Caenorhabditis elegans: one gene and its partners. The gene in region 3 interacts genetically with the main gene of each other region. Each region holds a gene or a part of one and is shown on either strand. Other genes may lie near its edges. The genes, in order: let-23, sos-1 and let-60.

The links.
Region 1: of let-60 (region 3) and let-23, changing one enhances a phenotype caused by changing the other (phenotypic enhancement), as found in Caenorhabditis elegans (2 studies listed by BioGRID, with this or other methods).
Region 2: of let-60 (region 3) and sos-1, changing one enhances a phenotype caused by changing the other (phenotypic enhancement), as found in Caenorhabditis elegans (2 studies listed by BioGRID, with this or other methods).

Annotation. Positions count from the first base shown.
Region 1 is NC_003280.10:9,193,311-9,203,607, reverse strand, and holds the start of let-23 (receptor protein-tyrosine kinase), read right to left. Parts: upstream 6,097-10,297; 5' UTR 6,091-6,096; coding exon 5,961-6,090; intron 5,625-5,960; coding exon 5,604-5,624; intron 5,352-5,603; exon of another isoform or gene 5,263-5,351; coding exon of another isoform or gene 5,148-5,262; intron 4,668-5,147; coding exon 4,600-4,667; intron 4,420-4,599; coding exon 4,261-4,419; intron 4,176-4,260; coding exon 4,022-4,175; intron 3,972-4,021; coding exon 3,753-3,971; intron 3,591-3,752; coding exon 3,324-3,590; intron 3,257-3,323; coding exon 3,140-3,256; intron 3,053-3,139; coding exon 2,962-3,052; intron 2,555-2,961; coding exon 2,205-2,554; intron 2,147-2,204; coding exon 2,017-2,146; intron 1,970-2,016; coding exon 1,748-1,969; intron 1-1,747. Other genes in the region: twk-4 (Potassium channel domain-containing protein), read left to right, coding at 9,313-9,465. UniProt on the Caenorhabditis elegans protein: Tyrosine-protein kinase receptor which, upon binding ligand lin-3, activates 2 signaling cascades: the let-60/Ras and MAP kinase signaling pathway and the let-60-independent phospholipase C-mediated Ca(2+) signaling pathway.
Region 2 is NC_003283.11:4,544,082-4,554,162, forward strand, and holds the start of sos-1 (Son of sevenless homolog), read right to left. Parts: upstream 5,211-10,081; 5' UTR 5,199-5,210; coding exon 5,079-5,198; intron 5,027-5,078; coding exon 4,940-5,026; intron 4,830-4,939; coding exon 4,743-4,829; intron 3,792-4,742; coding exon 3,489-3,791; intron 2,036-3,488; coding exon 1,784-2,035; intron 1-1,783. Other genes in the region: Y61A9LA.12 (uncharacterized protein), read left to right, coding at 9,791-10,000, 10,046-10,081. UniProt on the Caenorhabditis elegans protein: Promotes the exchange of Ras-bound GDP by GTP. May regulate signaling pathways downstream of receptor tyrosine kinase, egl-15 and let-23.
Region 3 is NC_003282.8:11,683,232-11,693,871, forward strand, and holds let-60 (Ras protein let-60), read right to left. Parts: upstream 7,858-10,640; 5' UTR 7,847-7,857; coding exon 7,718-7,846; intron 7,023-7,717; coding exon 6,828-7,022; intron 6,771-6,827; coding exon 6,600-6,770; intron 5,875-6,599; coding exon 5,815-5,874; 3' UTR 4,996-5,814; downstream 1-4,995. Other genes in the region: ZK792.5 (Nucleolar protein 9), read right to left, coding at 1,846-1,950, 2,002-2,121, 2,168-2,359, 2,927-4,156, 4,596-4,886; ZK792.12 (CidA/LrgA family protein), read left to right, coding at 10,562-10,571, 10,620-10,640. UniProt on the Caenorhabditis elegans protein: GTP-binding protein with GTPase activity. The level of let-60 controls the switch between vulval and hypodermal cell fates during C.elegans vulval induction. May stimulate the guanine nucleotide exchange factor (GEF) activity of rap-1.

The DNA of each region.
Region 1 (10,297 bases), on a different chromosome or scaffold from region 3:
AGGAGTATCAAAACTTGAAGAAACACCATCACGCGCAAATGCATACACTTTTTTCAACGCGCTGCGTGAAAATTCCTCTTGCGATTTCAAAGTTTTTTCCCGCCATTTCAGTGTCCAATGGAGCGCGGGGTCGAGCCAGAACCTCGTGTAGAACTTTGCAGAAGTTTCTTGAATTTTTCCACGAAATTGAACATTTCAGAATTTTATCGAATTTTTTAGAGAGTTCTGGAACATTGCAGACTTTTCCCGATTTTTCTAGAAAGTTCTGGAATATTCCAGAATTTTCCCGAATTTTCTAGAAAATTCTGGACCATTCCAGAACTTTCTCGGATTTTCTAGAAAATTCTGGACCATTCCGGAATTTTCTCGAATTTTCTAGAAACTTCTGGACCATTCCAGAACTTTCTAGAATTTTCTAGAAAATTCTGGACCATTCCGGAATTTTCTCGAATTTTCTAGAAACTTCTGGAACATTGCAGACATTTCTCGATTTTTCTCAGAAATTGGAATTTTCCGCCAAAATTGTTTTTCACTGAAAATTTGAATTTCCCGCCAAAATTTTTTTCACAGAAAATTTGAATTTCCCGCCAAAATTTTTTACACTGCAAATTTGAATTTCCCGCTAAAATTTTTTTCACTGAAAATTTTAATTTCCCGCCAAAATTTTTTTTCACTGAAAATTTGAATTTCCCTCCAAAATTTTTTTCACTGAAAATTTGAATTTCCCGCCAAAATTTTTTTTCACTGAAAATTTGAATTTCCCTCCAAAATTTTTTTCACTGAAAATTTTAATTTCCCGCCAAAATTTTTTTTCACTGAAAATTTGAATTTCCCTCCAAAATTTTTTTTACTGAAAATTTGAATTTCCCGCTAAAAATTTTTTCACTGAAAATTTGAATTTCCCGCTAAATTTTTTTCACTGAAAATTTGAATCTCCCGCCCAAATTTTTTCACTGAAAATTTGAATTTCCCGCCAAAATTTTTTTCACAGAAAATTTGAATTTCCCGCCAAAATTTTTTTCACTGAAAATTTGAATTTCCCTCCAAAATTTTTTTCACTAAAAATTTGAATTTCCCGCCAAAATTTTGGGTCTCACCACGAAGGGTCTCACCGCGATGGGTCTCACCAAGAAGGGTCTCACCACGATGGGTCTCACCACGAAGGGTCTCACCACGAAGGGTCTCACCACGATTGGTCTCACCACGACGGGTCTCACCACGAAAGGTCTCACCACGATTGGTCTCACCACGAAGGGTCTCACCACGAAGGGTCTCACCACGATGGGTCTCACCACGAAGGGTCTCACCACGAAGGGTATCACCACGATGGGTCTCACCACGAAGGGTCTCACCACGATTGGTCTCACCACGAAGGGTCTCACCACGAAAGGTCTCACCACGATTGGTCTCACCACGAAGGGTCTCACCACGAAGGGTCTCACCACGATGGGTCTCACCACGAAGGGTCTCACCACGAAGGGTCTCACCACGATGGGTCTCACCACGAAGGGTGCCACGCCCACTATTCTCACTGAAATTTGGGCGTGACGTCACAGACTACAAAGACTACATAGACTACAAACTATGGACAGACGAACTGTATTTTTTTATATAAAATATAAGTAATGATGTTTATATATTAATGTTTAACCTTAGACGGTAGCTAAAATCATTCGTAAATAGCTACTTTGCGTATATATTTTCGAAAAGACGCATTTAAAAAATCGAAAAAAAACCCGAAGCTTACCCATTATCATAACACGTCGGATGACACTTTTCGCATACATTTTTCTGCGTCGGAAAGTGTGAAACTGGACAATCGTGGACACATTCCATACGATTACCGAAATCCGAATTGTAGAGAGTTTTATGTCTGCAAGTGAGACAATCCAGTTCACCTAGACCGTTGCAGGTTTCACATTCCGGAGAACATCTTTCGCATTTCATTGATGTCTGGTTGCGCAGAAATCTAAATCAAAGCGGTATTTACTTTTTCAGACTACACATTTTGCTCACCCTTTCGTGTCACATTTCTCAACACACGTCCCAACACTTTTCCAGGTCTTACACTCGAGACAGTCCTCTGGTTCCTTGCCCCAACAACCACGTTTATTGCAGTTTTTATCACAAACTCTCTGTTCAGTTTCTAAAAATTGAGGAAAATGACATATTTTTTATTTGATAACATTCAAAAATGAACCTACCACACAGTTTGCTATCCCTATTTTCAGCAATTGCCAATGAGGGTTTGTTATCTTTTCCCTTTGAAGTGATAATTGATGACCAATCAATTTTCGACACATAACACAATCGATGATTTTTCATTATTAATACAGCTCCAGTTTTTATAAGTTTCAATGAGTTTAAGCTCAGTTCTTCCAAGTCATCGCATTGATAAATTGCGAGAGCCCATCTTACATTGTGAAGTTTTCGGCCTTCAATGATTTGTAGATTTTTGAGAAACTTTAAGTCATAGAAGTTTTGCTGAACAATCGTGATGTACTCGCTAACAATTTTCACTGTCTCCAAGACTTTTAGTTGTTCGTATGTGAATCTGAAAAATTGAAAAGTTAGGTTATCATTAGCGATCTTTCAATTTTGAATATAAACATAATGAAGTGAAGCTCTCTAAAGATGCACTTTTAAGTCTTGCCGAATAGCACCGGAAATGCAACAACAACAAAAAGAGTTGGGTCACCGGCGAGAATCATAAAACAATAATATTTATATACGGTTGAGTTGTTGCAATTGCTTTCAGTTCTAATCCTTCCCCTCATTCCAAAATGTGTCCCATTTCTCTGCCATTTTGGATGAAAAAGTGAGTGCCCATTCTATAAAGCTTTGAAGTACTTCTAGACACACACTTCATCATCTCATTTTTTCAGTTTTTTTTTGGTTTTTGAATAACGAAATTCTCAAAGATTATACGATGATCTCAAAAACCAAGAAAGAAATACTTACGCATGCTCTATTATCAAATGACCATCAATTTGTTCGCAGCCTTCCAAGTTTTTAAGTGTCTCGTTTGTCAGATGTCCATCGACCGTGCAAACTAAAAATTTTGTATTTATTGAGCTTTTAGGGATTTTGTAGGAATTAGTGCAGCTTGAAATTGATTTATTTCAAAAAGAAAACGTACTTTTTGGACAGCTGGAACTTCTGCATTTTTCACACTCTCTAACATCTTTTGTAGCATCATAATGGTGACCATCTGAGCAGTGACGAACACATACATCGTTTTCGATTAGAAGTTCAGCTGAAAAAGTATTTCGTGAGTTGTGGATTCTGCTTATTCATCATTTATCTCTATCCAAATAACTTACGAGGGCATTCTTTCACACAATGATTTCCATTTTGGTATCTTCCGTCTGGGTTAAAAACTAATCGTCCTGTTTTGTGATTGAAAATTTTTCGCGATGGGCACGTTTCGATACAGATTCCATCCAATTCATATTTACTGCAGGCAATGCAATTTTTTGGTCCGTGACCTGTACATCCTCCAAGACAAGCCGAGTCACAACATTCGTATGAACTTGTAGAGTTCGAGTAGAAACACTGAGAACAAGATTTTGGACATACGGAACGGTAGACTGAAAATATACTGCATATTGGTGAATTTTATTTACATAATTTCTTTAAAATAATTTTGAAACTTTTGATCGTTCTGTGTCAAAAATTAAATTTTTTCAGAAGTTTGAAAAATTCAGCCACAATGAACAAAAACTTATGTCTAGTCTAATTTTTTTGCTAACCTCGTTGACAATCATTGTCTCCGGATCCCCAACATTTATCATTACAACTTTCATGGCATTTTGCCATTGATTTTCCATTTTGATAGCAATGTTGATGTGAGTTTGTAGTTTCAACTTTCTGTACATCTGGGTCGTACAGTAACTCCTTCCAATCGATTTTATCCCCAATGTAACACATTTTTGGATTGTCTTGAATTGTGACACTTCCATTCCTAATCACTGAAAAATAAAAATAAAATACTATGTCTCTAAAAGCTGAGCAAACAAACCTCTCAACTCTCTCATCACAACTTCGTGAACTTTATCATTTTTATGAATGTACAATGCATTATCGTGAAAAACCTCGTCTCCGTAGATTACTCGTAGTCTTGGAAATGATATTTTTTGAATATTCGCACGATAAATTATTAAGCTTCCTCGAATCTGAAAAATAAAGGTAAAGGAAGATTTAAGCAAAAACGTTTTTGGTAGAAAATACATCTATTGTTGTAGATGTTTTCATACTCACCTCCTCTAAATTATCAAAAAAGTTAATTGATTTCAATGGTGAATCTTCATTTTTTGGGTCCACAGTGCTATTCGTCGATTCTCTCCATTTCTTTATTTCATTTGCTTCTATCCATGTTATTTCAAGATTTCCATAAACACGACGACACCCTCGGTACATCTAAATCAAGACATTTTTCCTTGTTTTGGCAAAAAATTTAGTTTTGCCTGGGGCTATTTGACTATTTGTTTTGGATGGTTACTTCGTCGATCCGGAACTTTTTAAATTTTTTTAAAATAAAATTCTAATCGTATGGTTTAACAGCAGAAATCAAAGATAAATCCCTATTCAACAACTTACAGTTTCCAGATCTTCCAAAATATTTCCGGTTCCATATCTCGATATTCCATTGGTTGTGCCAGAACAAACTGAAAATCAAGAATGAAATTCGTGTAAGTTTTTGTTTGATTCAAAGAGGAAAAATTCACAGAGGGGATGCATATTTTGGTTTCAAAAAATCTAGTTTCTCTAAAAATTAACTAGAATTATTTTAAAAATTTTTCTTATCTCAAAAAAAAAGAAAAAAATGGAGCCTTTCAATTTTCTTGATGATCCGATTACTTGTCCTCTGAATGACATTTTAAATGATAAAGTTCTCACGTGTCTACCGGTTACTGTACTTGTAATGAACTTTTGATAACTTTCTGTAATCGAAATATCATGATTCATGTCAAAATTAATAAAAATTTAAATTTCTACAAAAAGTATTGTATTACTTTAATGAACATTTTTTTAAAGTATATGTCTTGAAACTTTTTAGAAAGAACACATCAAATCGCATATGTATATTCTATGATTTAAAAAAAATCAGTTGCCATTGTTGACAATTTCCCATTTTATCCACTTACGGCAGTCTTGAGGTGAAACACATCTTTTCCACAACTGTGCATTAGAATTTCCAAAAAATGTTAGAAAAATAGGAATAATCAATAAAATTGAACCGATAGAGGGAGGGTATCGCATGCCTCCCAGAAAATTGTAGATAGTGAGAAAACTTGGACAAATTCTTCCTTTTTTTCACTCTTCTATGACCACTTTTCTACCTCTTATACATGTGATACCCAAAAACGGGACAGAGAGTAGTAGACTGAATGTGTGCTCATTTTCATTTCATTTTTGCCTCAATTCTAGCATTTTTCATCTTCTCAAGTGCTTCGAAATGGAATGAGTTGCAAATTTCTATGTATGAATGTGTGGGGGAAAGAGTAATTAATTGGGTTTTTGGATAAATCACGAGGACATCACAAATACCACAAAAACAATGGGAAAAGGAAATTATATTTGGATATAACGGGGTTACTCACCACTAGGATCTGTTAGGTTCCCTTTAAAAAAATGTTTGCAAATTCTGAGACATACTTTCCTGTTCGGAATGCATTTTTAAACATTATATTATTTTAACTTTTAATAAAAATCCAAAAGCTTGTTTTTTACTATGGTGGTCAATTTCATGTGGAATAATTTTCGTATTCACAGAAATCTTTTTGAGAAAAACCAAGATATAGGCGGAGTCATTTATCTATCAAAAAAATGACAAGCCAATAAAATAGGATTCATAACCTCGCTCTAATCGGTTTCAGATCCAATTTTTCACGATTTTCAAATTTTGATCAAATTGAACAAAATAATGGAAAACGTAATAATTCCAAAAGCCAACTCACATTCTCTCACCACAATCTTCCGTTGCCTCCTCCGTACAGTTACTGAACCTTGTGTTGACGTTGGTGATGCCGCATCAATTGTTGTATCAATTAAGATTATTAAAAATAAGAATAAAAAAGGGAACTTCATCTGAAATGAAAATTGGACATCAGTAATGCAGTTTTTGGTCGATATTGTCAAGAGAATTGGGAGAGGTATAGGCAGTAAAGGAGGCGATTTTTGAAACAAAAAAAGGTGATGCGAGCGAGATGGGATTAAAACTCTTCAACAACGACACAGTTCAACCATACATAGAATAACGTACAAAAATGTTTTATTGGTGTTGTGGCGCCACGTTCTTTTTGTGGTCTACGACCTATTCCCCATCGGGGGGCCCAGAGACGAGTTCTCAATATGGACGAGTTGCTGTCAAATTGTGTGAAGATAAATTGGAGGACACAATTTCGGGTACAGCTTCCGACAGTTCGTGTGTTTGGGGTAGTATGCGTTTAATATCCTAGTTTGAATGTATAGCATCTTACTGGCTTAACAAGGATTTTAAGTGGAAATTGAAATTTGAAGCCAAAATTTCTGCAAAAATTTTTTGATTTTTTTTAACGCTGAACGAACTCAATAATTTTTATTGATTGCGCAGTCCTAATTTTATTGTAAAAAAAAGAGCCGTTAAAAAATAGTGTACCTCTTGCTCCGAGAAGTTAGAAAAATGGTTTCTTTTGTGCGTGACGTCTCGAGCTCTCAAGTTCTCTCACTTTTATAATTGAAATCTATGAATCAGAGGAAAGAACAACATACGATCGGCATGGGAAACTTGAGGAGATGCTTTTAAGAAATATCGAAAAGAAAATGGCGGAAATCCGGGAAATTTTTTAATTTAGAATTTAGAAGAGTTCAGATCGATTTTCAGTTGAAAAATTATTGTAGGTTTTTGTAGTTTATATGCTGAAAAGTAAGTAAGATATATGAAACTAAAAGCTTAAAATTTCCGGTTCGTCCGAAGAATTTATTTTTCAAATGAATTTTACACCAAAAAAAATCAAAACCTCAATCACATGCCAAAACGCATTTGACGTCGTACACAAAAATTTGTCAGCAGTATTTCAAATTGTTCATATTTTTCTTTCGGTACAAGGAAAAAAGTGATAGGAGCAAGTGAGCAGGACTGTGTGGGTGGTTGATAAGGAAGAGAAGAAGACGATGGTTGTTGAGCATCTTCTCTGCTTCTCTAATTCTCATTCTTTCTTATTTCTGAGCTCTTTTAGATTGTGAATCATAATAGATTTATAAACGTGGACAATACTCAATGGACCTCCCGACAAATAGAACTTGAATATGAATAGGTTGATGGGAAAAGGCTGGGCGGCGTATTTCTATGTGCAAATGGTTATCAAATGCTTGCTTGGCGTTTTGCTTTTAGAAAACCGTTTTAAATCTAAAAAATTACATCGGGATCTTCATTGATGTTTTTAAAAACAATAGATAATGTCTCCACAATTTTTGCATTAAAAATGTTCATTGAAAACTTTAACATAAATATCTTAAAGTAAAAAGTGGATACATTCAAATTTTAGGCAAAATTCGGAGATCTATTAATTGAAACAAAAAAAACCTCTCAAAACTAATAAATCAATCTTGCAACAACACTGAAGAATGAGGGTTCTTGATTCATTTTCATTCCCTTTGAAGTCATACCGCCATCGGTTGGCAGCTAGTGGGGAAGAACACGGGCGGTCCTAATTACCATATGGTTGAACACCTAGATGCGCCTAAGAAATATGAACGAAGAGGAGATCAACATGTGGAAAATGATTGGATTTTGATTGTGTGGCTTGGCTCAGAGTCACTTTGTCTATTTCTTCGTAAAGAAAAGAGCAGAAAATTTGTTATTGAAAGTATAGGTGAGGGAGGATTGGAAAATGATGAGGGAGGGGAAGAGATTCCAGGTGTCAAGTGGGTTTATGAAGATTTATGAGAAAAAACTGAGGGCAAGGAGGAGAAGAAAAGGTATTTAGAGGTCAAGGAAGTATTAGAGACTATAAACATATATCATTTGTTCGAGGTTGCATTTTTGGATTACAGTAACCTGACCGGAAAAGGTATTGATGACTGGACCAGTGGACCATTTTGAAGCCTGTAAAATACTTCGACCTGAAAATATTTCAGTGCAGTTTCACTACTTCGGGGACCGTAAAATGTGAATTTAGGTACATTATGTAACAATTTCGGATAGAATTTGAAACTTTTCAAAAGACTCCTTATAGTTACATATTTATAGTAATCTGGTAAAACAAAGACTAGCTTGAGACCCAAAATGAAATCTAGTTGAAATGTTCAAAGTGCACAAGAAAAACCAAAAACGATTGAAATCACTTTCGCGAACTTCATGAAAAAAGGTGTAAAGTACCTGACTAAGAAAAGTCGGTGGGCGTCAAGTCAATTCACTTGTTAGAGACAACCCCTCATACAAAAAAGGGGAGACTGTTGTAGGAGCATTGATTTATGCGCAATACAAGGGAATGAGTTACGCAAATATTGGCACAACTAATAGATTTTTTCATTGAGACTTTTCTTCTTGGCATCATTACTCAGTGTGAACTCTCGTGTACAATATGAACTTGTTGGCAAATGGCACGGCAGGAAAGGAAATTGGAGTCTGAAATTTCAGAGTTATGTGGATTCGTACATATTTAAGATGTGTGAACAAGTTATTAAATTTTTCAAAGTTTCAGAGGTAACCCGAAGAGAAAGGGTTCAATCTTTCCAAATTGCCAAAATCCATGGTTCCAAAATTTTCTGAAAAAAATCCTTTTTCCGAGTTAGGTTAGCAGATACTTCTATGTAAGTTTTGTGAATCCCAAGTGCAGATGCATAAAATTTAATAACAACTTTTTTGATCTATTCAACTTTATAATTTGTATATTCTGTGGTCACAATTAAAATTTCATCCATACATTTGATGTTTCATTTAAATGTTTACATTTCTTGAATTCCCCCATTCTACTGCTACCCATTATTACAAGATTTCTGGTCAAAGGAAAAGATGAAAAAAATGCACCGAAATTGTTTATTTTTCCCTTACTCTTGCCACAAAAGTGCAACCATTTCTACAAATAACCGAAAAGGAACCTAATTTCCGGCAATCCCACGAGTTCATCGACGCGTTAAAATGTATTGAAACTCGGAAGCAGTTTCTCAAGATTTCATCGAATTTCCTCGGAATTTGACACATTTCTACCAATTCTTCATCTCCTCAGCAGAAGCCATTCTTTTTTAAAATAGAAAAACAAATTGAGAGTGTCACTTTGTCACACCAGCAATCTCTATATTCTCTAGTTTTTGTCACTCTCACCAACTATGCATCCCCGGGGAAAATTTCTAGCCGGACATTTGTCCGCTTTCTGTATCACTCCGACGACAACCGCACTGATTTCTAGAAACCATAGCGATTGGGCTCATTTGCAATTGCTCCGAAGGACACCAAGTTCAGATGCTGGGAACATGAATCAGGTGAATATTTTTTTTCTTCTTAAATTGTACTAGAAATTTGAAAAAAAAAACATTAAAACTCTCCTATTATTTGCCGAAAAAGTTCGAAAAACATTCAAAGTTTGAGGTCTTGTACTTTTTTTTAAATAGCGTTGCATCATGTCCGAATTTTGCTCAAAAAATTTTTTTATGGAGAAGTTGGTAAGGACTTAACTTTACTGATAAAACCTGTTCTATCAAAATAAAAAGCTATCGCCCTATTTTTGTCCAAATATGATCCGGCAATTTCGAACCCAGACTTATAGCAAACTGAAAAAAAATTAGTAATAGATTGACAAAAGACGAATATAACTTTTCAATTTTTGATGAACATTTTTTCTCATTTCAGCTTTCATTTTTACTGTAAATTATCAAAATTGGAATATTTATATTTCCACTAGTCTCAGTAATTACCTTTAATACATTGTTCCAACGATTTTCTCAAACAATGGAGCAAGGCAGAGTCTATTTTTGCAAACCAAACAAGCCTTTTTGCAATTATGAATGGGGATTTTCAAAAGATTTTCATTTTCCAACGTCTCTACCTAAAACTTCTTTTCACACGTTTTCCGGTGCCGACGATTAAAGAAGATTTCGTTGCCTCCTCCAACTTTTACTAACCCTCTTTTCTATTTTTCGTCACCAAATTGACGCGATGGAATTTCGGGTGCCGCTGGTCCGCAAAATTCTATGAACTCTAAACTTCAGGTCCTTTGAAGTACCCGAATGTTTTTCTTTTCGACAATAAAGGTTAAAAATGTTCGCAAATGCTTCTATTTTTAATTTCAAAGTTCAAGACAATTCATTCAATTTA
Region 2 (10,081 bases), on a different chromosome or scaffold from region 3:
TACTTGCTCTGTTTGCTTGTGTTTTTCACCGATTTTTCCCGTGTTTTCTTAATAAAACTGATAAATAAATATTTTTTGCTAATGCTAAAATAATTTCCAGATGAAAAAATTGTGAATTCAGCCGGCAAGTAGCGGTGAAAGTGGTTTATGTTATATGATGGATTACGGGAATACCAAAACTAAACTTTTTCTGAAACATGGTATATATGCTTAAAAATGCTGAAACTACCTGATTTTCATAACGAGACCGCTGAAAAAGTTTTGAGATTTTCAAAATTCAACTTTTTTGGTGAAAAAGTCGAGATTTTGGCACAAAATGTTGAATTTTGAAAATCTCAAAACTTTTTCAGCGGTCTCGTTATGAAAATCAGGTAGTCTCAGCATTTAAGCAGCATATGTATCATGTTTCAGAAAAAGTTTAGGTTTTGTATTCCCGTAATCCATCATATTGCATTGCCCACTTTCACCGCTGCTTGCCCACTGAATACATGATTTTTTTACTTGGAAATTGTTTTAGCATCTGCAAAAAATATTTATTTATTAGTTTTATTAAGAAAAAACGGGAAAAAGCTGTGAAAAACGAAAGAAAACAGGCGGAAAACAAAGCAAGATAAATGGCCGCTGAAACTTGTCGGCCCCTCGGCCATGGCCTAGAAACCACTTTTCCTCGTCCCTCGTGAGGAAAAAGTTGCAGTGATACTTCGGAAACACAAAATTCTGAGAATGCGTCTTGCACAACATATTTGACGCGCAAAATATCTCGTAGCGAAAAAGAAAACTACAGTAATCCTTTGAATGACTACTGTAGCTCTTGTGTCGATTTATGGAGCTCGATTTTTTAAAATTCATTTATTTTCGGATAGGGGGTTTTTAAAAATATTATATTTTAATTAATTTCAAAAATGGAGCCCTTAAATCGACACAAGAGCTACAGTAGTCATTTAGTCAGGATTACTGTAGTTTTCTTTTTCACTACGAGAAAATAAGAAAATATATAATTTTATTTGAAAAAAAAACGAAAAATAGCCGAAATTTTGAGCTATTTTTCAGAAAAAATCGAAAAACCAACATTTTTTGTGGGGATTATTTTTTTATGTAATGTTTTTCGGAAAATATATTTTTCGCTTGGAAACTGACTAAAAACTCGAATTTTGAAATTTTACACTTGTTTTCGAAAAAACTTTAAATATATACATTTTCGTGTTCAAAATATTTAAAATTCAAATTTACAAAAAAATGTTTCAATTTTTTTCGTTTTTCGCTTTTTTTGGCCTTTTGGCAAATTTTTTCCGTTTCCATTTTCGGAAAATGTTTTTTTTTAATTTTTTGCGATTTTTTTCAATTTCAGAAAAACGACCATATTATTTTTGAATTCCCGCGCAAATAAATTATCTTTTCAATACATTTTTGAATTTTCCAGCTATATTAACTGAAATTTTGTTAAATTCATCGACATATTTTTTTTAATTTTCAGAAAAAAAAATCAGCATTTTTTATTGCAAAATTGGAAAAATCACAAAATTTCGTGACTTTTTTTCCGTTTTTGGGAGAATTTTTCGTTTTTTTTTTAGTATTCGCTTTGTGATCAGCCATTTTTTTTCGCAAAATTGGAAGAAAAAATTTTTCAAGTTTTTTTCAAAATTTTGCCAAAGTTTTTAACTTTTCGCCATTTTTTTTGTTGCAAAAATAAAAAAAAAACATTTTTTAAAGCAATATTCGTTAAATTCAGGCTGATTTAAGACCAAAATTCGTTTTTTTTTGTTTTCGAAAAATCATTAAAAACCTTATCAACATCCGTCGCCGCAACCGATTCGATTCTCCGTCGAAATACATTAATCCTATTCAATTCACGAATAAATCGTCTCTCATCTCTCAAAAAATCAACAGCTACTGATTCATATGTCTGACTATTCGATAGGGTCTTTTCTTCAGTCTCTTCGGCAACAAATTCCTCAAATTCCGATAGAAAACCAAAACCGCCGGGAGATTCGGCTTCCTCCTCGTTTCGAAGTTTTGTTCGGAGCTCCATTAGGGCCTGAATTTTTTTTTTTAATTTTTTCAATAAATTTTTTGAGAGCTTTCTAATTTCCAGTTTGGCAAACATTGAATAACGGAAATTTTTCGGCAAAAGTTGAAATAAGTTGAAAAAAAAATTTCATATTTCACCGTAACATACACGTAGTCAAGTCAGGCTGTCCCATTACGGTTTGATCTACAAAAAATGCGGGAATTTTTTCCTCGGAATAATGTGACGTCCCGCCTTTTTCGGAGATCAAACCAAAATGGGACACTTTGAGACCACGTGCAGATACACGTGGAGTCAGGCTGTCCCATTACGGTTTGATCTACGAAAAATGCGGGAGAAGAGACGCAGAGTTCTCAACTGATTTCGCATGGTTAAGAGCGTGCTAACGTCACATTTTTTCTGGGAAAAAATTCCCGCATTTTTCGTAGATCAAACCGTAATGGGACAGCCTGGCACGAAGTGGACATATGCAATATAATTTTGAGATGAAATTTATGAAAAAAGAGAATTTGAAACAAATTTAGCCAAAATTGGCCAAAAACCGATAATTTAATCTTAAAATTATACCCTTTTTCCAGAAAAAAGTCTGAAAAAATAATATTTCCAATTATAAAACAGAAAAAAAACAAAGAAAACCCAATTAATATATCGTTTTTCGGCAATAATATTGCCGACGGCTATATTAATTAGATTTTCCTTTTTTTTTTCTTTGCAAACAAGTCTAATTATCGATTTTCAGGTCAATTTAGGTCAATTTCAGAAATTTCTGGGATTTTTTTTTTTTGAATTTTCGCTTCAAAATAACCAAAATAGTCTCAAATTCGGAAAAAAATACACAAGAAAATCGTGAAAATTTTGGCTAACTTTGAATTCCCACCGCAACGAAAACTGCACAACCAATCAGCGCCACCAAACTCCGCCCACTCCATCTGATTGGTTGAAGAATGGGCGGAGCGAATCGCTGATTGGTCGCAGCAGTCAGGGTTGTAGATTTTGCCGTGTTTTTGGCGAAAAATGTGTTTTTTTTTGTTGCTTTTTTTTCGAAAAAAAGATTGATAAAAAGCGGAAAATTCTGATAAATTGAAAAATATAGAAAAATATTAAATTTTACATAAATTCCAAAAAATCACACTCGAATTTTTTTTAATGCAATTTTGGTCAAAATAAGCAAGTTTTTTTTTAAAATAACGTTATAAACTGAAAAATGTTTATTCTTTTCGCTTTTTTGTGTTTTTTGGCGAAAAATTTATTATTTCTTCGTATTTTTCGGCGAAAAATGTTTTGTTTTCAAAAAAAAAATTTTTTTCTCGTTTTTCGATTTCGAAAACAAAATTGTGTTTAGCTAAAATTGCGATTTTTTTGGTTTTTTCTGAATTCAAGACTATTTTTATTTTTATTTTTTCGAAGCAAATTTTCTGCTGAATAGGTTTTTTTTATATTTTTCTCCAAAAAAAAGCAGTACCTTATCCCCGTTCATCGCCACATCAAGATTAGCCATCGTAATCTTTTGCTCACTATTTCGAATATTTTTCACATAATTTCCAGTCAGCCTGAGCACATCTTCAGTAACACTTTCACATGCATAATAAATATAGCATGCGATACGTTCGATTTCCTTCTTTTCTCGATCTTTTTTCTCTTTTTCTCGTGGTCCAAGTGTTTCTTTGATGACTGCTGCCAGGCGATGTTGGCTTTCTAGAACTGTTTTCAGGGCTTTTTGATATTTGTGCTTTTGGAGTTGTTGGTGCATGTTGTCCCAGGCTTCCTGCAAATTTTGAAATAATATTTAAGAAAATTCGAGAAATCAGAAAAAATACACATTTTAGGGGGAATATTGCTCCGAAAAATTCAAAAATAGTCTCAAATTCTGAAAAATCCAAATTTTAAAATCACGAAAATTTTCGAAAGTTGAATTTTTCAATATTTCGTGGTTTGTTCATTTTAATTTGTGGTTTTTCAGAATTTTAGAATTTTTAAAAATATTTTTTTCCCAAAGAGTATATTTCATTTTTCTTGTATTTATGTTAGGTGGAAAACGTTTTTTTTTGTTGGTTTTTTCACCAATTTCACTACTTTTTTAATATTTTTTTTGTCCAAACCCAGATTTTTTAGGCAAAAAAAAGAAAAATTTGTATATTCATAAATCACCAAAAAAGATCGTGATTTGATTTTCAAAACTATTCATTTTTTGTCTTTTATCCTGAATATTCAAGTTTATGGAATTCTTTCCGCTTTAAAATATTTTATTTAAAATGTACTACGAGAACACAAAAATCTGAGAATGCGTATTGCACATATTTGACGCGCAAAATGTGTCGTAGCGAAAACTACAGTAACCCTTTAAATGATTACTGTAGCGCTTGTGTCGATTTACGGGGCCCAATTTTCGAAATAAGCTCCATCGCTTTTAATACGAAAATCGAGATCTCGTAAATCGACACAAGCGCTACAGTAGTGATTTGAAGGATTACTGTAGTTTTCTTTTTCGCTACGAGTTATTTTGCGCGTCAAATATGTTGTGCAATACGCATTCTCAGATTTTTGTGTTCTCGTAGTACATTTTAAATAAAATATTTTAAAGCGGAAAGAATTCCATAAACTTGAATATTCAGGATAAAAGACAAAAAATGAATAGTTTTGAAAATCAAATCACGATCTTTTTTGATGATTTATGAATATACAAATTTTTTGGAAACATTTTTTGAAAATCCCTTACTTTACAAACAGTCTGCAGACCGAATGCGAACAGCTTTTTCGCAGTTTTGTCCACTTCGACGACACTTGTGGCACGTGCTTCGATGAGCTGAAGAGGGGAAAGGATTACAAGGTCAAGAAATGCACAGGGGGAATTTATTAATATTAATTTATTTGTTAGATTTGAAAAAAAACCGATATATACATATATATATATACCTCAAAAACGATACTTTGCAAAAAATATCGAATGTGCTCAACTGCAGCATTGTCAATCGGGAGGCCAGGATGTACGATATTGCATATCTGAAATTGAAAAATATTATTGAATTCAGGAAATATTCAAATATATACAAACCTGATAAATTCTTTCATCAAAAATAGCCGCCCAATGCTTACTAGTTGATATTGTTCGTCGGCTGGTCAACGAGACCGTATCCGATGATGCCGAGTGCAGTGATATGCTCATTATGCTCATTTATATGACCATCTGCAATGAAATTTTGAATTATTTAGGAAAAAATATATTAGTGGGCCAACAATAAGTTACGAGTTAAAATTCATGAATTAATAAATTCTTACGCTGACAATCGATTTTTTTTTAAATTTTCTAATCACCAGAAGTACCTTAAAGTGAACAGAAAAAAATATTTTAGCATATACCGTCAAATGAAAAATTTCCGAATTTTTTCAATTTATTTTGTTTAATAAAATTGTTTTTTTTTTCGTTGATATATGGAACATAATCCAATTCCTCGAAAAAATTGGAATTTGCCGGAAATGTTTAGAGGGATTTTTATAAGATGGGAACATTTAAAACTGCCCCTTTTTTAAATTTTTTCTTACAGTTCAAAACAGACGTAGGAAAATTCATAGGATGCGTACAATTTCGCCGATTTAGATTGAAATTCTGAAATTTCCAACAAAAAAAGAAGTGCAAAACCACGTTTCGCCGAAAATTTTCGACAATTGCCACTTTTCCGGTTTATTGCCAATTTGCCGGAAATTTCAATTCCGGCCATTTGCCGCTTTGCTGGAAAAAATCGGCAAACGATTTTTGCTAACTTTCCGGCAAATCAACATTGCCGGAATTGACAATTTCCGGCAAATCGGCAAACCGGCAAATTGTGGCCTTGCACTTTTTTTTTGGGAATTCCAGAAGTTCAATTTCAATCAGCAAAATTGTACGCATCCTATGAATGTTCCTACATCTATTTTGAAAAGTTAGCAAATTCTATGAAAATATCTAAAGAAAACCGGAAAAAAATTTCAAAAAGGCACAGTTTTAAGTGTTATGAAAAATATAAAAAAATATATAAAAAACCCTCATTTTTCTGGCAAATTGATATCCGGCGAACGGCAAATCGGCAAATTGCCGAAAATCGAAATTTCCGGCAAATTGGCAAATCGGCAATTTGCCGAATTTGTGGACAAGAAAATTTGCCAAACCACAATTGCCGGACATCCCTGGCTGGTAACATAAATTCCGGCAATTTCAGAAAAAAAAATCTGCATGCAAGGAACGAATTTATATATTTTTTTAAATTTTCACTTTTGCAAAGTTTATTTAAGACAAAAACTATATTGACGAGAGCGAGAAAAGCAAGATGGAGAAGAAGGAGAAAAGTGTATGATGGCGATGATGATGATGATTACAACCCGCAAAAATAATGCATGGAACAACACACACACTGAAAAGAAGAAATAGAAGAAAAGATGGAGTGTGATGGAAGCGTAGAGGTGACAGACAAGCGGACAGAATGATACGGGATGAGAACGGGAAGCGGGGGGTTACCCGCCGGCGGCTGCTGACGAAATACTGCAGGAATCTGTGAGAGATTCTAGAGAAATGGACACCCGACAACGGCCGGCCACCATCTCTCACCACGGCCTTGTTCTATTCGAACCAGTTTGATCTGTTGAGAAGACTTTATATATTTATTGATTTGCAGTGCAATCAGTAGCCCCACCTAATCAACACAAATACACTACTTCAAGGTCGACTCTTTTTTGATTCTCGTTTCGATTTTTTTGAGGTCAAATTCGATCGAATTGAAGAAATTTGAAAAGTAGTAGAGATTTTGGTTATTTTGCTTGAATAGACCAAAACTGACTGGATATCATAATGAGACTTTTTTCTTAAAAAAAAATCGAAAAAAAAGCCGAAATTTCGGCAACTCTTGCTTATGGCAGCCTCTGGAATTTTACTTACAGTTTTTATTAAATTATCACCCTTTATTGCATACTTTTATCGTTTATCTCATGCTAAAAGTGGTGTAGTCGATTTTTTATTTCGATTATTATTTCTTGACTAAACTCAAAATAGTCTGAAAACACCGAATTTTATAATGAAACATCTTGAAAACTTGTTTTAAAAAAGTTATGGTGGCTCAAAAAATGGCCTAGGTTTAGTTAAAATTTGAAATTTGACCGACTTCTCAATGTCGCAGCAGCTGGAAACAACTTTTTGTTGAAATCACTATATCTATAGAATAGTTAATTATCTTGCGTGTTTTCAACTCGATTTAGGTACTTTAAAGCTGAAAACGCAAGATAATTCACATCTGTAACCAAAATTAGACGAAAATTTCAAAAAAAAATTGTTTCCAGCCGCTGTGACATTGCCAAGTCGGTCAAATTTCAAATTTTAACAATTTTTAGGTCATTTTTTGAGCCGCCATAACTTTTTTTTTGAGAATTTTCAAGAAGTTTCAGTATGAAATTCGGTGTTTTCAGACAAGTCCGAGTCTATAAATCAATAAAAAAAATTCGACAGCACCGTTATGGGGGGGGGGGGGTTTTTTTGCTGAATCAGACTGAAAACGTCCAAATTTCATAATGCGATTTATCCAGAAAAAAAACATCTCAAAAAATTGAAAATTCGGAAAAAAAGTCAACTTCGGACCGCTGCAACATGGTAAAGTGACCAAAATTGGAGATTTTAGCTAAAATTTACCTTTTTTTTTAATTTCGAACCGCCATAAAAAATTTATGACAATTTTATGAGAAGTTTCATTTCGAAATTCGTTTATTTTTGGCTTAAATATGCAATAAAGAGTCATAATTTAATGAAAAGTGAACTCCAGAGAGAAAAAAATTTGGCGAATTTCATACTATAACAAAATTTTGCTCTTTTTTCGGAATTTTAATTTAAAAATCATGATTTCTCGTGGGAAAAGCGGTAAAATTCACACACACACACACACACACACACACACACACACACACACACACAACCTGGTCGGCACAAACAAACAAATGTGTTCAATTATGACAAAGAACTGTACGAGCAAATATGCCGAAAAAGGAGTGGCAGGGGAGGGTCAGGAGGGTGACATAATGCGGTGAGTGGGAGCAGCCATCTGTCAAGAAAAGTTATTTGTTGTTGGTTTTTTGAAAAAGTTTGAAAAATAAAAATGTAAAATTTGAGGAAAACACTGTTGTTGCAAGCACGCCCTATTGATAGATGGATTTCGGCGCGGTAAGTGTGGATTATTCAAATTTTATGCTTGACCTTCGTACAGGAATTTGGCCTATTTGCCACAAAAATGTTTTTAAAAAACCTGATATTTAAAAATATTATGGAATTTATCGGTTTTTTCTATTAAAAAATAATGGAAATAAATATTGGAAAAAATAAAATTTGAAAAAAAAACGTTTGGAACAAAAAAATTCCATAAAAAATCCTTTAAAAAAGTAAAAATAAATCTAAAATTTTAATTAATTAAAAATAAATACCGTATACCCACTCAATCGTTTCGAGACCCAACGATGTTAAACAAGTAAGCGCCTTTGTTAAATGGTTACGGTAAGTTGGAAAATTCATTTTTCAAGTTTCATGGCGCAAATAATAGGGCAAACCCTCATTTACTAGCATGCTCATTTATTTGAACGCTCAATTCCTAACGATGGCTCAATCTCTTTGACGCTCATTCACTAATGCTTTCACTTTCGCTCGTTTACTAATACTACACGTGTAGTCAAGCTGTCTCATCGGTGTTTTTCGGTGTATTGGCCGCAAACACGCGGCGCACAAATTGACGCGCAAATGCAGACAAGCGGGCAGGATTTACGAGAGATTGTGATTTTATTGAGGCCCCACGAAAAGGGGAGCAGAACGAAAAAGGGATCTGCAAAAAGGGGATTTGCGAAAAGGGGAGATACGTAAAGGGGAGCTGGCACTGTGCCAAACGCACAAAACGCTTTTTTATTCTCATTCAACGCACGCATTATTTTTGTATTTTACGCTAAACAACGCGCGATGCGTAATAACGGAGTGTGGTTATAACAAAGTCGTGCGTTGAATGAGAATAAAAAAGCGTTTTGTGCGTTTGGCACAGTGCCAGCTCCCCTTTTCGTTGCTCCCCTTTTCGTATCTCCCCTTTTCGCAGATCCCCTTTTTGCAGATCCCCTTTTCGTTCTGCCCCCCTTTTCGTGGGGCCTCTTTTATTTTCTTCCATTCATTTAAAATATAGCTTTTTGCCATTTTTAAAGTTAATTTTTTGTTGAAAAATAAATAATAATTTTTTTTATCTCGCCGTCAACTTAATTTTCAGAAAAATATTTTTAAAAAATCGGGTGGAGGTGCAACGAAAAGGGTCTTGCCGGATCGATGAAATGGATTGGAGTGAAATAAACTGAAAAGTCGTGGTCGCTGATGAAAGTTTCGAGAAATCACGAAAAATGGATCGTAAATTTTGGAGAAGGAAAGGAAGTTTACTGCTGATGAGATCTCTGAAAAAAGGGTAAAGTTGAAAAAAAAGTCTAATTTAAATTCAAAGAGTGCAGTCCAGTATAGCGAGCGAAACTGCGCTCGCTTTTATTTTGAATAAACAATGAAATAAATTTTTTAATGCGATTGATATTAGAAAAGTTTTTCTCAAGTGTAAATTTGTTATTTTCAGACAGATGACGAATTCGCAGCGGACGAGGAAGCGTTGTCGATCATGATTCTTAACTTGCAATTGCTCGGTTTGTTGGGATCGCTTCCAGGAGGAATCGGAAGGATGTATCGAACAAGCTGGTGAGATTCAAAAATTTTCTGGGCAGTGACATTTTTAACAGGAAGCCATGTCTACGCCGCTTAGGATGACGACGCCGCTGGGTGTATCCTTATCATCCGACCTGAAACGTGCCTTGCAAGACAATGAAAAGCTGACAAGGGACGTGAGCGATGCAAAACTTTTGAAAGAAGATGCTGAAATAAAACTGAAAAAAATTAGGAATAAGCTTAATGGAGAGCACTCTGAAAAATTGGGAAAGTTGAATGATAAGTACAAGGTATATAATTGAGATAAGAAATTGCTGGAATAGATAATATTTTAGGCTGTACAAGAAGAACTGAAAACGATGAAACAGAGT
Region 3 (10,640 bases):
ATATAAACTTTTCAGTCGACATATTTTTTCATACAACAAAAGAAACTCGAGATATCAGCGTTCAAACCTTAGAAGTGGTAGTTAACGATGCACCATGTATTGAAAATTTACCTTACATTAATAGCACATTTTATTTAGAAATGAGCAAAAAGTATTTCACAACCAAACTGTAGAAAAAAGAAATAATAAATATTTTTCAGTTGAAAACACACCTTTTAACACCTTCAAATAAATCTAAAATCTAAAAATAAGGATAATAATGCGTTCCTCAAGCCATATGCACTCCAGAACTGGAAGTAAGGGTGGTGCTCCTACTGGCCTTTAACTTAAGCTACGTCCGAGCCGAGGAACTGTGACCAAGGGTGAAAAAGATCAAGCTAAACTTTAACTATATTTCAGACTCGAATTGAAGAGTTTCACACATAATGGTCTATGGAAAAATATAAATTTTCGAGCAATCAGTTAAAATATCTCTATTCAGGTTTCCGTAGAAACTGTAAGTAATGAAGTGTAGAAGAAGCATGCACCTTCACCGAGAGGTAAGAGTGCGGCAAAAGTCAAAGTTAAGAGGGTGGATGTGTATGCTATTCTCTCCCTTACTTCATTTCTCTCTCCTTCCGTGATCCGACCGGTATTTCACCTTCCCCCGTTCTTCTTCGCGCCGTTGACAAATATTACCGTCCGCACACACATATCACTCGGCACAGAAAAAGAGTTGAAGCATTGCGCAACACCTTTCGAGATTTCACATGCAAATGATCACCCAGCTGCTACTGATGCCACTTGATGTGATATGGATCATGTGCTAACTTTTTAGGAGTTCGGGATTTCTATACAAATGGCTCCAATGCATTTCTGAAAAATGAAAAGCTTCTGGGATCTTGTGGAATCTCAACCCTCGCTACTAAAGATTCTAGAGAAGCTTTGTGCCATATTGTCAAATCTGTTCCTTTTTCTCAGGCAAAAAAAATCCCATCTGACACAGGAGTGGGATTTCTACAATTCTACAAAATATCCTACCATGTTGTTCCAAAAATTTTAAGCTAAAAATTAGTGTAAAAATATAGAAAATAACATTAATTTTAGCCAATTTTGCATGGTTAAGATCGTGCTGACGTCACATTTTTAAGGGAAAAAACCCCGTTTTTTTTGTAGGTCAACCCGTGATGGGACAACCTGACACCACGTGTAATCGGCAATTTGTAGCTATCGCACGTGGTGTCAGACTGTTCCATAACGCTATGATCTACAATAAATGCGGGAATTGAAACGCAGAGTTTTCAACTAGTGTCGAACGGTTAAGAGCGTGCTGACTTCACACTTTTCTGGGCGAGAAATTTCCGCATTTTTCGTAGATCATGCGGTTATGGGACAGTCTGAGACCACTTGCTATCGGGTAATTTTTAAACACATTTTCAAATGTTTCACTTCAAATAAATGTTATTTTCGAATGCGTTTCTATATTTTTAGACTAATTTTTAATACATGGAACAACATGGTGCATAAAATCATTTTGTAGAATTAATTATCCGGCGACAAATTTCAGCTACAGAATTTCTGATCATTATGAAAATTCCGAATAGTAAGAATTCAACTCCCTTTACCAGTTTGTTCTCAAACTTAGAGTTCTTACAAGTTTTTAACGGCGAAATGGCTTTGGAATTCCCTTTTTGTTTGCCAAGATTATCAGATGATCCGGTAAACCAACAAAACAAATTTGTTTCCTTGAGTTATAAGCCACATAAATTCCAATTTTTTACTCAATTCAATAAAATCGTATCAAACATTAAGACCAAAAATTCAAAACAGAACAAACAACATCAACAGTAACAACAACAAAAATAATTAATTCTTAGACTTTTTCATCTTTTCAACCCAATCTTTCCGGCTTTTTCTGAACAGGTAAAGATCGCAGCGAAGCATTGCAAATTTCCAGAACTTGGATGAATTCTGAAAACGAAGAAAGTGAATTATATATTTTTGTTACAGAAAAATGCTCACATGAATTCCAACAAGAACTTTCATGATTTCCTGCTTGCGCTTTACGTCTACAAATTCCCAAATTTTCTCGAAAACTCGACTTCCGAAAGTATCAGTGATAAGCGTCTCCCAAGAATTTTTCTGAAAATTTTACAATTGAAAATTTAAATAAACATTGTCAAATTACATCAAAAGCACCAATAATCTTCTCTTTGATCTCTTCTGGCATAGTCTTACTAGCCAAAACAGCTTGAATCAAACGAGAAGTGTACTTGTTACATGACATTTCTTGAATTTGTTGCTCACTGAGTTGCTCAAAGCCAGTTGCCAATGTTTTCGTTTTTGAGAAGTTGACAAGTTCTGAGACGAGCATTGTACCCTGGAATTTATTTATTTAAATTTTATAATATAGAAAATTTTGATTGAATATTGGGGGAAATTTTGAATAAAACTGTAAACTAAAAAAAAATTCTGAATTAAAATTTTTTTCTAATTTGTGAAAACAATTTAAATGGCTGAATTATTTTTGATATTTTTTAGTATTTTTTTTTAGTATTTTCTTTGATTATTGTTGTGAAACATAGAAGAAGAAAAAACACTTCAAGCCAGCTTTTTTTGCGGAAAAATTTCTGAAAATTGAAAAAATCTGTTTCACATAAATAATCGAAGAAAAAAAAAAGAATAAACCCCAACTAGCTGAGGTTTTATCATAGTTGAAACTATTACCGACTGAAAACGGAAAATGCCAAATCTAAGGAATTCAAAAAAAAAATCAACCACATGAACGTTTTTTAATTAAGAAAAGTTAAAAATTAAGTAAAATTCCAAACATTTTTTACAGTTATTCTCGTTATATCAACACTTTTTTTTGTTATTTATAGAAATAGTCCACTTCCAAATCTATTTTTCAAATGATTATGTAGAAGTCGTATACGCTATAGCTAACCTTTTGTGTGAACTTCTGAGTATCGAAAATGCTTCCATCACATCCATTCAAAGTAAGCACGTTGAGTAAAAATTGTCCTTTCTTTGCCTCTGAAGCTGCGCGGAAATATTTTCTCAGTTGTTGAAGCATGGTTTTCTCGGATGATGGATATCGTGCAGCACATCGGATAACCGAAAGGAACACACCAGAATTCTGATGTTCAAGCAGAGAAGAACACTTTGGAGCCATTGTTTCAATTATTTCAGTGACCATTTCCAACGATGTTGAGCTATTGATCATTTTTTGAAGAGGAAAGTTTGAGAATCGATTATCTGTCAATTCGTCAACATTTTTACTGCAAAATTCAATCCATAAAAGACTTCGAGCATCTTCTGAGCAAGTTTCCATCAGCTTATCCCAAACACGAGATCCATTTGATGAATACCATGCCTTCGAGATTCCTTCAATATCTTCCTTTTCGAGCTTCTTCTTCACATATTCATCACCTCTTTTGTCTCCCCAAAGCCCATCGGCTTCAATAAAATCTTGAAATAGTGTCACAAAAATCGGAGAATCCATAAAGGTTTTATTAAGATTCTCATCGAATGCCAAGATTGCAAGTTTTTCATAAACATTCTTCAAGCTAGCCTTCATTTCTTGTCCTTTGTAATTTCTTTTCTTTTCCTCTCCAACCTTTGGCCTTGCTGACAATCCACAACACACCCAGACAATAGCTCGAATCAGAAAACTCGAAGGTTGTGTTGTAACAGCATCCGCCCAGTTATCCATAAGAATTCCTGCTAGTTTTTGAAGAATCTCCACATGTTCTGATTCGGCGATTGGGCACATCGAGAATATCAAATTTTCAATTGTCCTAGCACTAGCTCCTCCGAAAATCAGCTCAGCTAATGTTTTATGCTTGAGACGAGAAATCGATGAAAGGAAGAGAGCTGCTCCTTTAGGACAACTTCCAAATACAGATTCAACAACAACGGCTGCTTCTGTCCACGAGAGAAGAGTTTTCTCCTGGCCAACAACTTCTTCAGCACACTTTTCCAGAATAAAATCTTCAATTTTTCCCTCTTTCTTCTTGATTTGTTCAATACTTCTCAGATAACCAACAATTTCTTTCGGAAATTCACGACCATCTCCATCTGGTCGAGAGTCGTTGAATGAAGCCGAATCAGCTTGTCCGTAGCTATCCGGTTGTCCTGAATTCGTGTCATCACCGCCGCCAACTCGACCGTATTGCTGTAAATTAAATAAATATATACGTTTTTGTGGTAATTGCCTAGGGAGCGCTTTGGAGTTCATTTTATCGATTCTTCACAGAAAAAAGTCTCAATATATCGAATATAAATTTTTTAAAATTCAATTTCAAAAAAATACTGAAATATTTGTGAATTCCCGCGCTCATTTTTTCAGACAGTTTTTCGGAAAGAAACCTCGAAAATCCGAACGAAATTCGATAAAATGAAATTGGTCTAAAACCTATAATTCCACATTTTGAACAATTTTTGTCCAGGAAAATGACTAAAAAATTCAAAAATAATTCGGCTTTTTTTTATTTTTTGCAAAATAATACAAATTTTAGAAATGTTTTTAACTCGACATATCGAAACTTTTTCTGTAATTTTGAGTTTAAAAAGCCAGAGACGCTACATCACTCACGACACCATCTGACACAAACCTTCTCAAAATCTCCGGCACTGAATTCTCTGTTACCACCGAATCCTCTTCCACCACCACCACGTCCACCTCTATCATTTCTTCTAAATCCACCATCTCCTCCTCTTCCACGACCTCCTCCACCTCGATTTCCACTTCCAAATCGTTCATTTTTGGCTAGAAAAGTTCTGAAATTGTTTCTCTCCTCCTGTGGCTTCTTCTCAGCATCAGCAGCAGCATATCCGTATCCTTCAAATGAGTTTTTCGCTGGAGGATTCTCATCAGACTCTACATTTTTCCTTTTTCTCGTCATTCTAATAAATTAAATTTAGTTTTTTTTAAAATCATGCTCCGATGGCGAGGTCAAAATATAACACTGAAATTAACAAAATATAGTTGAATAGATTTAAAAAAATAATATTAGCTTTTTAAAATTTATATCATTGCAATACTTCCTTGAAAATAAAATAATAATAAAAACTTGATCAAAAGAATAGGAATATTATATTCAGATAGGACTATAAAATGTAGAGGAATAGAGAAAAATGAATGCAATACGAGGGAGCAAAAACTTTCAGATGTTCAGAAAATGTATGAGAAATGGGGTCTAATTGTATCTATATTATAGTTAATGAAAGAGAAATAATTACTTGACAAAAATGAGAGGAAACAGAGAAAAAATAAACGGAACGACCGGCAGATGCAAAAGAATTTAATTTTCAGAGAACTTCTGAAAATAGATGAGGCCAATAATTTGTATGAAAACGAGGAAGGGGAATAAAGCATCAAAAAAGCAATACAAACATTCTGAAAATATGCAGAGAAAGTGAAAAAAAAATGGTGCGATGTTTTTTTTGGTAGAGTTGGCCAATTTTGGAACGAGGAGGGGGTTCGGATGCATGTTTTAGATATGGATCACACACTACAGCTAGTTTTGACACCTATGAATGAATGGAGATTTGGGCTAAGCGAAAGATGAGGAATTAGAATGAAGGATGAAGAAAAAAAAGGAGAAAAAATAATGACGAGCAGACGAGAGAACAAGTTCAATCGATGCATAGAGAAAAAAAGGTGGAAATTCGAAGAGTATGTAGAGGCGGAAGAGGATCGATCACAAGTTTCAGATAAAACAGATAAATGAATAATGAAAATGTACCAAAAAAGTACGAGAAAGGATAATTGGGTGGGAGTTGACACGACTGAAAATGAGTTGGCGAAATTGGGCAATTCCCGACGCTGAATCACATTATTTGACACTTCTTCTTCTTTTGTGGCTTATTATTGTCGTGACGCTCACGATGCTGAAATAAAAAGAAAACATTATTAAATCTTTCGGATATCAATCTAGGGTGTCATCAAAATTTTTTTTAGAAAATTAACAATAAAACTCAATTTTTTATCAGATTTTGTGCATGCTGGTGAGAAAAAAAACAAAAGAAAACATATAATTTTCTTTAAAAATTAAGAAAATGACCAAAACTTTGAGCTTTTGTTTCGAAATATCGGAAAAACTTACATTTTTCGTTTTTAGTGAAAAATGGAAACTTGAAACTGTTGATAACAATAATAACATTTTAGAGCTTTACAAAACAGAAAATTTTTAAAAACAACGTTTTTGTATTACTCAAATGCAACATTTGGCGATTTTCAAATTAAAGATGCGGTGCCCGGTCTCGACACGATGAATTTGTGTTAAATGCAAACGTATGTGCGCCTTTAAAGAATACAGTAACTTTAATATTTCGTTTCTGGGGTAATTTTCACCGATTTATTAAAACTGCTGTGTTTTTAAATATTTTTATAATATCGAAAACTTAAAAAAATTGATGAAAATTCCGCTGTAACGACAGTATAAAGTTACCATAATATTTGAAGGAGCAAATCGAACAGACCGGGTGTCGTATTTTTGGCGCGAAAATATCAAAATCTCGCGTCTTTCAATTTTCATATAATAATGACTGAATTTGTACCTTAATTGTACATTAAAAACATTATTTTTAATTTAAATTTTTAACTAAAAAATTACCTTGCGAATTTCTCTAACAAGTGTGTAAAATGCTTCATCAACTCCCATACGCGTTTTGGCAGATGTGTCGACATTCGGAATACCGTAACCCTTTGCTGTCTCACTGACTGTTCGGAAGTCGACTGATCGAGATGACAAATCACATTTATTCCCTACCAAGACCATAGGAACCTAGAAGAAATACAAATATTCAACCATTGACTGATAATTTCAACAAAAAAAACTCACATCATCTGAATCCTTTACCCTCCGAATCTGCTCGCGGTAGTTAGCGACATTCTCGAAAGATTTAGCCTCGTTGACGGCGAAAACCAACAGAAATCCTTCGCCTGTCCTCATGTACTGATCACGCATCGCCGAATATTCTTCTTGTCCGGCGGTATCCAATATGTCGAGGAGGCATGTCTCACCGTCTATCACAACCTGAAATTAGAATATTTAAAAACTAGCTCTCGGAGCAATTTTTAAAACTGAAAAACTATTTTTACTGGTTAAAAACTCAAATGAAAACACTGAAAATTAGGGCTCAATAATATTCTGAATTTCAGAGTTTAAAGATGAATATACGTTTAAAAAAATTTATACTCCTCACACGACACGAGCAGGCATGCTGGTTTATCGATTTGCTTTAAAAAAACAAAAAATCTAAAAAAAAGTTTTGGGCCCTTTCTCAAAAAAAAAGTGAAATTTCTGTTTTTTGTATAAAACGTAAAACGGAATGTAATTATTGAAATTCGTCTGAGAAATATCGATTTTGGAGTGTTTTCAGAATTTTTCCGGTTTTTGCAAAAACTAAAATTTTCGGTTTTCCAATTTTTTTTTGTGAGAATTTTCGGGGGACAATGAAAAATCATGATTCGAGCCATTTTTTTCAGTTCCAGCCATTTTATAATGTCGTGTCCAAAACACGAAAAATTGGTTTTTTTTCGAAAATTTCGGAATTTTTCGTGTTTCAGCACGATTTATTCGTCTTTGGAATCAATTAAACAGCTCGATGTGTTTCAAAAAACTTCCAAACTTCTGACTCATCGTTTTTTTGTTCAATTTCAAATGCCATCATTTTCGTTCAATTTGCTCCCACCACATGTGTGTAGCGGATGTTCCCAATGATTTCTCACCTGCTTTCTGTAGCTGTCCTCTATGGTCGGGTCGTATTCTTCGACAAAGTGATTCTGGATGAGTTGAATGGTGAGTGCTGATTTACCAACTCCTCCATCTCCAACTACCACAAGCTTGTACTCCGTCATTACCCTTTTCTGAAAAAAGACGCATAGTTGAATATGGAAAAATGTAAAATAGAGATGGAAATGAGAAAACGAAGTGGAGAAGGATTTCTGTGGGAGCACTGCCAAAGAGCAGCTCTGCCTATCGGCATACTCAGAATTCCGTTTCTTTTTTTTTTCAAAAAAAAGTTTCGATAAAGGAGAGTAACTACCAGGAAAGAAATAAAAAACCGATGATGACTACTTGAGAATAATTGAGAAGATAGAAAAAGAATGAACTTTCCTGTTAATAAACTAGGTGGTGAGTCGGAATGAGTAACTATTTGAAGACGACGGAGAATGAGTCATTACAATTTGAAAAAAAGAAGAATTCAAATAGTTTGAGTAATTTTGAACTTTAAAAAATGGGGTAATGCAATTATTAAAAAAAAAACCAGGAGAAAAAAGGTCTTCACTTCATCAAAAATTGATTTCAAAGCGATGAAGAAAAAGGGGGACAATATAATGTTAAAATCGGTGAGACGGCGGACAGTGGTGCGACCCGACCACTTATTGTCGCTGACAAATGGCTCGAATCGTCGTTTTTTTTCGTCGGTTTCTTTTCGGTCGCCCTCAGTGTCGAGTGGGTCTCTTTCATTTTTCTTTTTCACTTTTCCAATACAAAATTCTCCGATCTCTCGTTAAAAGATTGCAGAGATTGAGACGTAGAGAAGTAAAGTTTTCCTGACAAGCATTTTTCACAAGGAAACAAATAAATTTACGAAATTCAGTTAGAAAGTTTTTAAAAAAACGTTCAATTTTACTTTGTTAAATATAAATTGTTTAAAGAAGTAGCATGTTTAAGAAACAATGATTCCCGTAGGAACTATAAGCAAAAACTGACAAAAAAGAATAATGAACTTACGAAATCACTCATCTCAACTATTTCAGAAGTTGAGAGATGAGAGATAGGAAGGAAAAAGAAGACGTTAGGATTAGTAAGACCGGAAAAGAAGACTGCCCCTTCTCTCACTCTGCATTTTTTTTTCTTCCACACTACTTTAATCCTATCACACAATTTGGGATGCGTTGCTCCATCTTTTCTATCTTCTCATTTGGTTGAACCAAGGAGCGGGTGCGTGCCTAATAAAATGGATTAAGCTAAAGACGAATAGAGAGATGAACTCGGGAGGAGAAAATAAATAGGCAGAAAACGCTTCAAGTGCAAGATTCTGAAGAATTCTTCTTCCTTCTGATGATGGAGACGAGAAATGAAGTTCATAGGAAAAGAAATCCGAGGCTCTGGAGTGCACAGAAGCACAGAAACCACACACTCTCTCTTTCTTTCTTTTTTATCTCTTTCTCTCGCACCCCCCATACACACACACAAAGTAAGAGTAAAAGATAAAGGAGTGCGGTCCCCACCATGCCGCTGCTACTGCTGCTACTGCTACGGCGGGACAATTAGAGAGCACTAGAAACGGTGATGCATAGACACGAACGACCGCGACGCGACAGCCGCTACGCTTTTGACGGTTTTGCGACGACTGTTGGGAGAAGAGACAAGAAGTGAGCGTGTGTGAGACGAAACAAGTGTGATTTGTAAAAGAGAAAAAGAGTGAGAGAAAAGAACTGTCCACTTTCTTTTTGTATCGACCCATCCCTATCTGTTTCTGACGATAACGACGACGACGAAGGATGGTGATAACGATGAATTGAATTATTTAATGGAACGCATGCAATTTTCGTTTCTAGCAAAGGCGGTGGTCTCTTTTTGAAAAAAAAAAACTATTTCCGCCGACGTTAAGTGCTTGAGATTCTTTCTGTCCAATTGAAATCCTCTAAAAAATAGTTCAAGAATTTGAGGAATTCGATTCAAATTGTCTAAGTGCTTTTCTTTGAATGTCCAGTAGATTTATATTTGAATTTTCTTTGTTAATCTACTTTGGGAATTTCTAAAAATGTTTGCTCCCAAATAATCTAGAATAACTTAGGATTTTTAGAAAAAGTTATGACATAACTGAGACAAAAAGAATTACAAATTGCATGAAATATGCCAAGAACGAGAAAACTTGATACTTTTTGAACAATTTTTGCAAAATATATAATTATCGTGGTATTTATTTAGTTTGAAAATAGTGGTGTCAACAAGAAATGACACATACTTTCCAGTAGAATTTGATATTAAAATATATTGAAATGAGCAACTAGAGGAAATGAAAACCTGAAAACAGATATTTCATTATTGAATTTTCGAAACGGTTAGTTTTCAACTAATCTAACAGTTTTATAAACTTCAAGTTTTCTCAAAAATAATATTAGATATGCAAACTTTTTTCAAACATGGCTTCGATAACGTCTTGAATTTTCACAAAAAGTCACATTTAATTTGGAAATTCGGCATTTTTTCCACAGACTTTTCCACAGTTTCAATACGTTTGGTAGGTAAAAATTATGATGGAAATATACCATTCTCAACAGTGTATTTTTAAATAAAAGTTTTTCCTCGGTAGTCTGGAAAAAAAATATATTAAAAGTTGCTTGAAATGTGCCATGAAAACACGAACTTGTGACTTTTTGGAACAATTTTCACCAAACATTATAATTTTAGTGATATTTAGTTTTAAAATAGGGCTGTCAACAAGAAATAAGCCACACTTTCAATTAAAATATGTTGAAATATGCAACGAAAACACCCACTTCAATAGGATCCAAAATTAGAGACTCAAAAAATATCTACGAGCGCGGAAAGAGAAGACGATGGAGCACAGTGAGTCGAAAGAAAGAAACTCCCGGAGACAAACTCTTTTCAATTTAGTTTCATTCGGCCTAGTCGTCG